3 linked regions of the Coturnix japonica genome follow. The protein of the gene in region 1 binds, or shares a complex with, the protein of each later gene. Links are inferred from orthologs where the notes say so. Each region holds a gene or a part of one and is shown in the gene's direction. Other genes may lie near its edges. The genes, in order: STRIP2, STK25 and STK26.

Region 1 (3,649 bases):
CCTTGTTTTTAATGTTTCCCTGTGCTAGGGGGAAGAGGAAGTCCAAGAAACCCCTTGTGAGGTCTTGTATCGAGCAATGCTATACAATCTCCCCCAGTATATGGTAAGCCTGTGTTCCTTAGAAATGAAATAGGGTCTGTGGGTGTTAGGGATCTGAACGTTGGGATTTCGGTGGGAATCCAGAGCAGAGCTGGGTGGAAAGTCATCTCCAAGAGGAGGGTTCCAGAGGATCGAGGAGGTCAGATACCCAGAGGCATGGTCCAGTGTTTGGAGATAGGACAGTGGGACATCCCTTTCAGCTTTCCCACCGACTCAAGAGATTCCCACACACTACAATTCACAAATTCAGCTCTTTTAAGATGCATTTTGGGCCACCTACAGTCTGTCTGCAGGGAGAGGCAAACATTTAAATGCAATAAGCTGCAGCGCTGTTTTATCCATACCACTAGAGCTCAGTGCATCAACTTAATACAAAAGCTGAGCTGCCCTGCTGCCTGCAGTTGAGTACAAAAGGAGAGCTGAGCATTGGCACAGCTGGCCCATCACCATGAGTGAACCTTGGGCTGGTGGAAACTTCTAGAGCTGGCTTGAAGTTGTCTAGTCTCAAGGAAAAGGAAGGGATTCGCCCTTTGCCTCCACACCTGCCTCCTCTGCAGATCGCTCTGCTGAAGATCCTCCTTGCTGCAGCGCCCACCTCCAAGGCCAAAACTGACTCCATCAACATCCTGGCAGACGTCTTGCCTGAGGAGATGCCGTAAGTCCTGAAGGAGATACCTCCAGCTGTTCCAGCCTTGGACCAAGTGGGAAAGTTGGGAGTTGCAAATAGGTTAAGGGAGCCCCAAATGTGGGCATGGGGCTGCAGATGTGGGGTCCAAGGGATGTGGGTCAGTGATGGTCCCATCAGGTTGATGGTTAGCCTTGATCTTCCCTCACCATGCCAGCATCACTGTCCTGCAGAGCATGAAGTTGGGGATTGATGTGAACAGGCACAAGGAGATTATTGTGAAGAGCATCTCGGCTCTACTGCTGCTGCTCCTCAAGCACTTCAAGCTGAACCACATCTACCAGGTGAGCACTGAGAAGGGGTCACGGTTGGTGCTCGTGGGGCTGGTGCATCCTTACTGGAGCTCTCCAGGAAATGTTTCCAAGAGGAGCAGTGGATTGTAGGGATGAACCCTGGCTCTGGGACATGTTTTTTAGAGCATTACTCATGCAGGAATAACCTGCCTGCAATATATCTTTGGCTGTTTGTTGACAGGGTGGTTTCCACTCATGTGGAAAGAGCTCTCTGACTTGTGGATGAACACATGCTGTGGTTAATCAGGTTAGAATTCCAGAGATCTCAGCAGAGGGAGCCTCTCCTGGCAGCCGGGGTGGGGAGGAGTTAGGCAGGATTCCTCCTGCTGTGCCCAACTTCCACACGAGCAGTGGGGCTAGGCAGGACTCGTGAGGTCCTCAGCAGGGTAGAGCTCTCAGGGCTCTGGCCTCAGTAGAACCAGCTCAGGGTCCTAGATGCAGTTTGATTTGTGTTAAACAATTAGTGGGCATTTTTCTTTTTCTCTTTCCCTTTCTTTCCCTTTCTTTCCCTTTCTTTCCCTTTCTTTCCCTTTCTTTCCCTTTCTTTCCCTTTCTTTCCCTTTCTTTCCCTTTCTTTTCTTTCCCTTTCTTTCCCTTTCTTTTCCTTTCTTTTCTTCCCTTATCTTTCCCTTTCTTTCCCTTTCTTTCCCTTTCTTTCCCTTTCTTTCTTTTCCTTATCTGTTCTTTTTGCTGATCTGTGCAAATGGGTTGAAGGAGCTGCTTGGGCAAGGGGATTGGAGTAGATGATCTCTAGAGGTCCCTTCCAGCCCCTGCAATTCTGTGAACTGTAGAAGCCAGAATGGAAGTTACCCTATATCCTTTGTAGTAGTCAGTCTCCTCCTTTTCCTTCCATATTTAATGTTTTCCCCCAGTTTTTACCTTGAAAAGCGACCTGCATTCACTGGGTGCACCTCTTCTAGAGTCTTGCCATGAAATTCTGTGTGTCAACACACTTTTCCAGATGCTGGGAGTTGTTGTATGTGATGCAAGCCTCACACAGCAGACTTGTGCACAAGGAAGATGGTCTGCCAGGTTCAGAGCAAACCATCCAAACTGGAAATGGAAATTCCCAGCACACGCTTCCAGTTGTTCCTGTTGACGCTGACCCATTTCGCTTCTCTCCCCCAGTTTGAGTATGTGTCCCAGCATTTGGTGTTTGCCAACTGCATCCCGCTGATCCTGAAGTTCTTCAACCAAAACATCATGTCCTATATCACTGCCAAAAACAGGTACAGCCACGCATGCGATGGCCAGTGATGCTGCAGTGGGAAATACAGCACGATGCTCAAGCAAGGGCAAAGTGTGGCACTGAATCCTCTCCATGCCAGATGCTTTCCAAAAAGAAACCAAACCCCACTTATATGTATTAATAAAATGTATGTCTAAAGTACATTTTATTATTATACACACATACACATATATTATATATGTGTACGTTTGAGGGTTTTTTGGTTGGCTACTTTTAGAAAGGCAGTAGACACAGAAGGCTTGGAAACTTTGGGCAAGACTCAACGCCCTTGCCATGCATTATCTTGCTGGTAATATTCTTGCTGTCAGATATTTCCATTTTAACCTAAAATCTGCTTTTCGTATGAGTTTTTGTTTTTAATATACACACAAATAACTGATCTGCCATGTCCTAATGGATCCACCTCCTCCAAACCCCCACTAATGCATGCCTGGGAGCAGGGAGGGCTCTGCTCGTTAGGCTCACATGCCGATTGTCCTTAATGAGTCTCTTCTTTCCCATCTTCCACAGCATCTCTGTCCTGGATTACCCGCACTGTACAGTCCACGAGTTGCCTGAGCTCACTGCAGAAAGCCTAGTAAGTGAAGCAGAGCACTTGTAACAGTATTGCTTTATGCAGGTGGGTGAGGAAGGACTTTTCTTTCATTTTTTCTGTGTCTTCAGCCCCAAAATAGACTTTTTCCTGTAGAAGGGCTTGAAAATTTATCTCACTGCTGCTGCTAAAATTTCGAGCCTATGTCGTTTTCCTTGGCTGTGAACACGTTGCAATCAGAAATAAAGGGAAAGGCTTTCTGTGGTTTTGATGAGCCAAAGTTGGCCCGATGGGGACATCTAGTGACACATCGTTGGGAGCTCTAGTGGCACACAGTGGTCTTTTTCTCCTTTTATCCTTGTTTCCTTTTTTCCTTTCCCTCTTTTCCTTTTTCCCCCTTCCCTTGCTTCCCTTCTTTATCTTTCTCTCTTTCCCTTTTCATTTTTTCATTTTCTTTTTACTTTTTCCCCTTTTTTCTTTTCTCTTTCTTCCTTCCTTTCTCCCTTTCCCTTTCTCCTTCTCCCTTTTCCCTTGTCTTTTTTTTCCTTCTCCCTTTTTCCTTTTCCTTTTCACCCTTCCTTTTCCTTTTCCTTCCCTTCCCTTTCCTTTTCCTTTCTTTTCTTTCCCTTTCTTTTTTCTTCTTTTCTTCCTTCATTTCTTCTCCTCCCTTTTTCTTTCTTCACCTCCCTCTTTTATTGATTGCTAACTCCATTTCTATAAAAATCCAGTGCCTATTTACAGAAATCAAACACACACTGCTTCACTGCTTCTTCAGTGACATTAGTGCACGT
Region 2 (3,649 bases), on another chromosome or scaffold:
TCTCTCCAATCTGTGTTATGTATCTCCAGCTCATATCCTCACTGCCTATCCCCTCCAGTCTGTTCCCAGTGCATTTGTTCAAATACAGCCTGTTTGGGTGTTGCCATGGATGCAGAAGGATATTTGGTTATCTATCTGTATCTTGGACTGGATTGCACATGGAAATCCTGTTGAGTGAGCTGACTGTGAAGCTTACTCCCTACAGCAACATGCTGGGTGCAGAAGGCAGGCAACGTGTAATGACTGCTTGGTTAATCAGTAAGCAGCACCCAGGGATGCTGCTAAACCTGGTGTTAGATGCACAAACACCCTGCCTTGTGCTCAGATAAAATCTGCCCAGCTCAAGGTCCTCGCATGGGAGTGGTCCCTCTGGGTGACATGTGAGGTGAGACTGAGAAGTTCTGGGTGTGGAGAACTCCCTGTAACCACTGTTTGCTTCCTGTAGGTCAAGCTGTATTTTCCATATATATATATTTTTTTCTCTTTTGTTTAAACTAGACCTTATTTTTTAAGGTAGAAAAATGAATCACAAAGAGCCCTTTAATAGCATGAAGCAGAGCAGGCCCTCCTGGTGTGCAGCTGAACTGAATGAAAGAGCATCAGAGCATGATTCTTCCTCCTTCTCTTGTGCTTGTTGTTGTTGTTCCTCCCTCTGTTGCTCTGACCTTCTGAGAGATGCGAGGCTCCATCAGGGCTGGGTCTGCCTGAAATCCAGGCTACGGTAAAGGCAGCTGATGGCAATTGGTGTTTGCATTGCTGGAGTGTGTTGCCCTCCAAACAAGTAGGGAAGGTGAAAATCGGTTCAAATCAGTCAAATATTTGAATGTGAGAAGGGAAACATCTTTGTGAACTTCTGATTGCCTCTGACTTGTGCCCATTTTCTCATCCCAGCCTTCAGAGTCTGGTTGTGATACACCTCACCTTCCTTTCATTCAGGTATGGATGCATCCTTGCTCATGAAGCTCATTTGGCCCCAGTTTGGTGCCTGTAATTGAGCTGCATGCCACATCAGTCTGGTCCCAAAGGAGCTGCTGCCTTAGGAATGGATCCTGCTGACATTCTCCTTTCTGGCCTCTCTCTTGTTCCTCCCCAGCTGTGATCTGCAGGGGGCACAGACCCCATGTAAAAGTCTGCTTCAGCTCTTATCTTAGACATGTTCTGTGATACGTTTTTGAGCCCATGGAGACCATGGAGGGCCTGTGGGCTTCAGGTGAATTCAACAACACAGCAGATGTGTAGATAGAAGATGCAAGGCAAACAGTTCTGATATGCACGGTGCTCTGCAGGCTGCTGTGGGACTTGCTGACTTTTGCCTTATTTCCTTTCTCCTTTAGCACTCCAGGGTGGATCCTGAGGAACTGTTCACCAAGCTGGAGCGGATTGGCAAAGGATCATTCGGTGAAGTGTATAAAGGGATCGACAACCGCACCAAGGAGGTGGTTGCTATCAAGATTATTGATCTGGAGGAGGCTGAGGATGAAATCGAGGACATTCAGCAGGAGATTACGGTGCTCAGCCAGTGTGACAGTCCCTACATCACCCGGTATTATGGCTCCTACTTGAAGGTAGGACAAGGCCATGGTAATTCTCTTGCCAGCAGTTTGGGGACTGGGTTGGGCTTCTGCAGGACCCGCAGCTGGTGATGGCAAACAGCACTCAGGTCCCAGTCCACGGGCATCGAGTCAGTGTGGCAGCAGGAGCAGCAGTGGCTCTGCCCACTGTGTGTGTGTAGTTTTCATATGAGGCTGGTCTTCAAGACACTTGCATGTGGAAATGAGGTTCCTGGTGCGGCCCCAAGAGCAGGGTACTTGAGTGAAGAGCAAACTCCTCACTGAAAAGGCAGATCCCTCCTCTATCTGAGCATCCTCAAAAGGAAATTTGTGGAATGCTTTATGGAAATACCACAGTTCTAAGGTAGTAGCACTGAGGGCTTTATGTTTGTAGAAGGATCCAAGCTATCTCTGAAAAGAATAGGAGCCTGTCTTGATCTTGTGATTGTGATATTTCCACCGGAGCACTGGATGCTTCCAGTGGATGGCTTGAAACCTTCAAGCCTGTTTCATTTCCACTGCAAGCTAGCAGGCAGGTGTGGGGCAGCACTTACACATATCAAGGTCTGGAGCTTTCTTACCACACTCCCTACCTTATAAGGGAACAGGAGCAGGGAAGGAAGTACTGAAGGGTTGAAGAAATAATGAAAAGAACAGGGTCTGAGTCTTTGAAGGAGTGGTGCAGCAACGAGGTGATGTTGTTCCCCCTGAAAACAGGTTCAGGAACCCCCAGTAGAAGTTCCTAATGGTGATGGCAGCTGCTGGAGGCATGTTTAACACTGGCTGTATGGCACAGCAGTCCTTGAGCTCTTTGGATCCCGATTATTCCTTGCATATTTTTCACAGTCGATAATGCATTTTCTCAGCATTCTGCCAAAACCACCATGAAAGCTGTAGTTTTGTGGACCAGCTGTTTATCTCCTCAGTCTGGAAATATCTTCTCTAGGGAGAAAGTAAGTGCCTTGCTGACCATACCCTTCAAACTGGAATCCTGTTAGTGTGATCAAAGGCTGCAAAGCTCCCCTGTCATTGGCAAAATGTGCTAGATCTGTTGGAGTGATGCTGAATGGCTCCAGCCTGACAATATGCTTATCTCCCTGCAGTCTGGTGCCTGTAGTGTTACTAAGCTTGCTTAAGCAGAACTGAAGACAAAGAAATGCTGGGGGCAGGAGCAGGTCCTCTTTTGCCTCTTGAGAGCCACGGCAGGCAACATTCCTTGTGTTGTGTACAGGGGCTGTTTACCTCAAGTGTTCTGCTTGTCTGCCTGGTCTTAATGCTGTCTTTGCTCTTGGACTGTGCTGTTACTTGCAGGGCACCAAGCTGTGGATAATCATGGAGTACCTGGGAGGAGGTTCAGCCTTGGATTTGGTAAGTGTGTGGTAAGCTCTGGGCCCTGACATATCTTGGCTGAAGTTTTGATTTGTGAAATGCCCATAAGGCAGATGCTGGCTTGATGTGTGACGTCTTTTTGACAGCCCTGTGCCTGAAGGGTAGGCAGTGCAGGGCGGATGTGCTGGTTATGCATATCCCAGGACAGAGGAAATGTTTGCATGGAGCTCAGCTGTTGAAACAGAATTCTCCAGGGTGTTCTGCTGCTTTACAGTGGAAAAAAACAGTGAAATGAAATTTGACAGCAGTAAGTTGTTCTTGAGCAACATAAATCCACAGCTCACCTAACTGAAGTCTTGTGCCTGCCAGGAGTTTGTGGTTCAGTGCTTGCATGACATCAGGCTTGGCAGGGACCTGGCCTGGCCTACAGTTGGGATTTACAGGTGTGTTAATAATACTGATCGTGTCTAACAAGCTGCCTCAGACTTCAGGGGAACACTAATGATAGTAAACACACAAAAAAAGTTCTGCTGTGCTGTGTTCTTTCACAGGATTCTGTTTTTCTCTTTGGGACTATTAAGCCTGTTCTTCCAGAAGGAACGAAGGTCATATAGTGAAAACTGCTGAGCCTGCACTGAGTTGGAGGAAGGGTGCAGCAGGGGGACCTGTAATCAACAGCAGAAGGCAGGGCTTGTTTAGAGGAGAACTGATTAGAGGGAGCAAAGTTGTGATACAGTACCCTGGCACTCCACAGCCAGAAGGCAGAAGTT
Region 3 (3,649 bases), on another chromosome or scaffold:
AATAAGGTAGTGAGATTGCTGCTGTATTCCAGTCAAAAAAAGGAGCAATAATTTTGTTTTCCCAGTGATGATTTTTGCACCCGTTTTCAAAATGATGCTGTAAAGATGTTTTGTTTCCCGTTGGTACTAGAGTTGTGTGTTGTGCAGGGTAATCCATGCAGCAGATGCACAATGGCTGCCTTTGCCAAAGCTGTCACTTCTGTCAGGGCAGTTCACTTGATCTGCTGGGTAAGCATGACGTGTAGGGATACAGGAGAGACATCAGAATCAGAGGGCCTTTGGGTTTTCTTGTTCGCGGCAAGTTAGCAGCAGCAAAGTTGCTGCAAGTGTTAGAGGTCCTCTTCTCTCTTCCCTCTGATTCCTTGAATGGAGCTGGGAAGCGTTAAGACCTTTGTATGATGTCAGTGCTGATCATAGAGCAGTTAACCTTCCAAGGAAACCAGATGTCCTCATGAGTGCTGTACTGTCTGGTGCTGTGTTCCTCATCCAAGGCGTGTTTGGGTGATATCAGCTCGTTCTGACCAGTGCTTCAAGTTTAATTTCTGCATCTGTACTCCTTTGAATGTCTCTCAGTGCCTTTTGTTGCCTTACATCTTAGCAGATCTCAAAAGCTCAGTGTGCTTGGGTGGAGGATGCTGCTAATGGGCTCCGGGTGCTGTAGTCCTCTTGCAGCTACCTCTGTGTTTTATTACTTGAAGTGGAGCTTTGTCTGCCCAAGGCTGTTGACCTCATAGGTGAGCCCAGCCTTATTCACATGGGGAATGATGTTAGCACTTCTGTGCCAGTAATTGCATTCTGTAGACTTCTGAATTACCACACAGACAGGATCAGTATTAAGAACAGCTCTATTCTTTCCTTTAAAAGCATTATGTGGGAAATGAGATTTGTACCTGTTGCTTTCGATGGTGAAATTCACTTACCTTTGACATAATTGTATAATATACATTTTGTAACTAATAGCTGAATTAGAAGTGAGTGTATAGGAAATAAATTCATCTGATACGAGCACTCTAATAATGATAAATCTGGGTGATGTGTTTCATGGGCATTAATGAGGGCTAATAACTTGGAAGTAAATGAAGATAGCTCATCTTTTATTTATTTATTTATTTTAACTTTTTCTCTAGAACCATAGAGCAGACCCAGAAGAATTATTCACAAAACTGGAACGCATTGGGAAAGGCTCCTTTGGTGAAGTCTTTAAAGGAATTGATAATCGGACGCAGCAAGTGGTTGCTATAAAAATCATAGACCTCGAGGAAGCAGAAGATGAAATAGAAGATATACAGCAAGAGATAACTGTTTTAAGTCAGTGTGATAGTCCTTATGTAACGAAATACTATGGATCATATTTAAAGGTAATGTATCTTACTGCACAAACATTTACTAGCAATGTGTCAGCCCATTTTGAATGATGCACAGGGAAGTTCCTATAACTGAGAAAGTGTTATCACATCAACTTGACTTTCTGTTTTTCCCTTTGAATGGAGTTGCCTTTGTTCTGCATCTTTTGCTGCATGTTCCTTAAAGCTCAGATCTTCACAAAATGGCTACAAAAGGAGCGGAGTTGACAGAAGATTCCTATTGCTATTGAGCTTATAAAATTACATGGAGGAAGAGGTTTTCTCTTCTTTCTTCCCTCACAACTTCCAGTGAAATTTTGAGCCTTTTTGGAGGGGGAAAAATATGTTTTCATAGCTAGACTAACAAAAAAGAGAAACCCTCCTTTGATATGGAAGGAAACGCTGCACCGTGTGGAGATGTTTGTAGTTGTGTGTTATAGTAGGCCTGAAACAAAGTAGAACTGACAACAGTACAAAGTGGTTATGTAACTCTCGTGTTATCTAAGGCTTAAATTAAGAAACAAGCTTTAAAAAAAGGAAACATCAACACACACAACAATGCTCAGCCCTACAGAGATAAAAATTGGAAGTATATGAATGTATAGCACTGACAGAATAGTTGGATGTAACTTCCAGCTCCTGGTCTGGGTTTTCTGCTCTTTAAAAATTCCTGGCAAGCGCAGGAGTGTGTTAATTCTGCATTACTTTCCTTGTTTGGGTTCTTTCCATTTTTTAATGCATTCTGAAAGATTAATGCTGGTCCCCTGGTTTTTCTTGTCTACTATTTTGGGGGAAACATTTTTGGGTGATGTTTGTAGAGTTGTTTGTGAAATTTTGTTTATTTTCCCTTAAGAAACTTCCCTTAAAAAAATAAATCACAGGATTGTTTTTAATCCCATACTAGCATGGCAGTTAATTTTATTGCTTGCTCTTCCCTGCCTTAGACTAGATTCATCCTTGTTTGCTAGTACTGGTTCTTTCAGCTTGAGATTTCTCAGGTGGGAGAGTGTATTGGCTTTGGTAGAAGTGTCCAAATAATCTTTTATGCTGACTCTAATTTTGGTACTGACAAGCATTTCGAGAGTACTATCTGTCTATTCTTAAAAGTAAAAACTAAGGTTGCTGTAGCTTCTAACTTTCTATTAGCTGTAGTTCTGAGGATGGCTGTCAGCCTTAGTATGAAGCTGTTCAGTATTTTGTTCTGCATATTCTGTAGACTTCTTCTGGAAATGAAGTATGTACAGTTTTGTACAAAATGACTTAATAATTAAAGGTTAAAGAATGTTGAGGCTAGATCCTGAAACTTAAGGTCTGTTATTTCATAGAAAGCAGAGTCTTAGGCTGCTGAGTGCAATAGCAGTTCTTAGTGGATATGACTGGCACCAAGATTACATCAGGAGTGATCAAATAGGCTTGTTGGTTTTATACATAAAGATTATTGAAAATAGCTCCTAGAAATACTTTTCAAAGGTAGTGGCAAAAAGAGCATAAGTGTATTTCAGTATTTAAGAAGTAACCAACTTTATTGAACTTCAAATAAGCAGATGGTTACTGCCATCAAGTACCAGTCAGCTTCAGCTCTTCTCCTTTGTAAGAAAACACATTTGATAATTGAATGTTATGATGAAAACTTTAAACAACGTATGTTAACTGCAAGGATTCTGTAACTGTTCAGCCTTTCAGATGAGGTTGTTTTTCCCTCTGTATACAATTTATTTTAAATATTCTGGAGCTTTACATGGTTCTTAGTTTCTTGCATGTCAGGATGCAGAGCCAGTGTTGTTACTAACAGGAATGGAGCGGCCCAGTCCCAGTGGCCCTGTGACTTACCAGCAGCACTCAGGATCTTCCCAGTGATCCTCCTGCTAAGCAGAAACTGAACAGGAGGAGGAAAGAGTGTCTTTATCTCAATTACTTGACTTACTAATTTGTAACCTAGTCAGCTCAACTGATGCCATATGAGATACTCTTATATTCTGCAGCCTAGCTGCTCTTTAGCTACAGCTTGCATCTTTGACTTGTAAATGTGATTTTAAGAAATACAGACAGCCCCTAAGCATTTTTACTTAACAATGTAGTGTTATTTGTCTGTTAGTAGATATTTTAAAAACGTTATTGAGATAAGTTAGGGTCATCTTCCTTACCACTGAGATAAGACTGGTGCTAATTTTCCATTATCGTGACACAAAAAGGTGCAAAATTCCCAAATCACAAAGACATGGGGTACCTTTGTATCTTGAACTTTGGAGCTCAAATGGGAATTTACTGTTGAATAAATCTTAAAACTCAGCTAGTCTTAATAATTT

The links.
Region 2: STRIP2 (region 1) and STK25 share a complex: the UniProt entries of both Homo sapiens proteins name them as parts of the core of STRIPAK complex. The link is inferred for Coturnix japonica from reciprocal best matches to the Homo sapiens genes STRIP2 and STK25.
Region 3: STRIP2 (region 1) and STK26 share a complex: the UniProt entries of both Homo sapiens proteins name them as parts of the core of STRIPAK complex. The link is inferred for Coturnix japonica from reciprocal best matches to the Homo sapiens genes STRIP2 and STK26.

Annotation. Positions count from the first base shown.
Region 1 is NC_029516.1:802,698-806,346, forward strand, and holds part of STRIP2 (striatin-interacting protein 2), read left to right. Parts: intron 1-28; coding exon 29-103; intron 104-656; coding exon 657-754; intron 755-941; coding exon 942-1,068; intron 1,069-2,205; coding exon 2,206-2,306; intron 2,307-2,836; coding exon 2,837-2,903; intron 2,904-3,649. UniProt on the Homo sapiens protein: Plays a role in the regulation of cell morphology and cytoskeletal organization. Required in the control of cell shape. Calmodulin-binding scaffolding protein which is the center of the striatin-interacting phosphatase and kinase (STRIPAK) complexes.
Region 2 is NC_029524.1:3,903,557-3,907,205, reverse strand, and holds part of STK25 (serine/threonine-protein kinase 25), read left to right. Parts: intron 1-1,334; coding exon 1,335-1,565; intron 1,566-2,861; coding exon 2,862-2,918; intron 2,919-3,649. UniProt on the Homo sapiens protein: Oxidant stress-activated serine/threonine kinase that may play a role in the response to environmental stress.
Region 3 is NC_029519.1:3,354,051-3,357,699, forward strand, and holds part of STK26 (serine/threonine-protein kinase 26), read left to right. Parts: intron 1-1,127; coding exon 1,128-1,358; intron 1,359-3,649. UniProt on the Homo sapiens protein: Serine/threonine-protein kinase that acts as a mediator of cell growth. Modulates apoptosis. In association with STK24 negatively regulates Golgi reorientation in polarized cell migration upon RHO activation.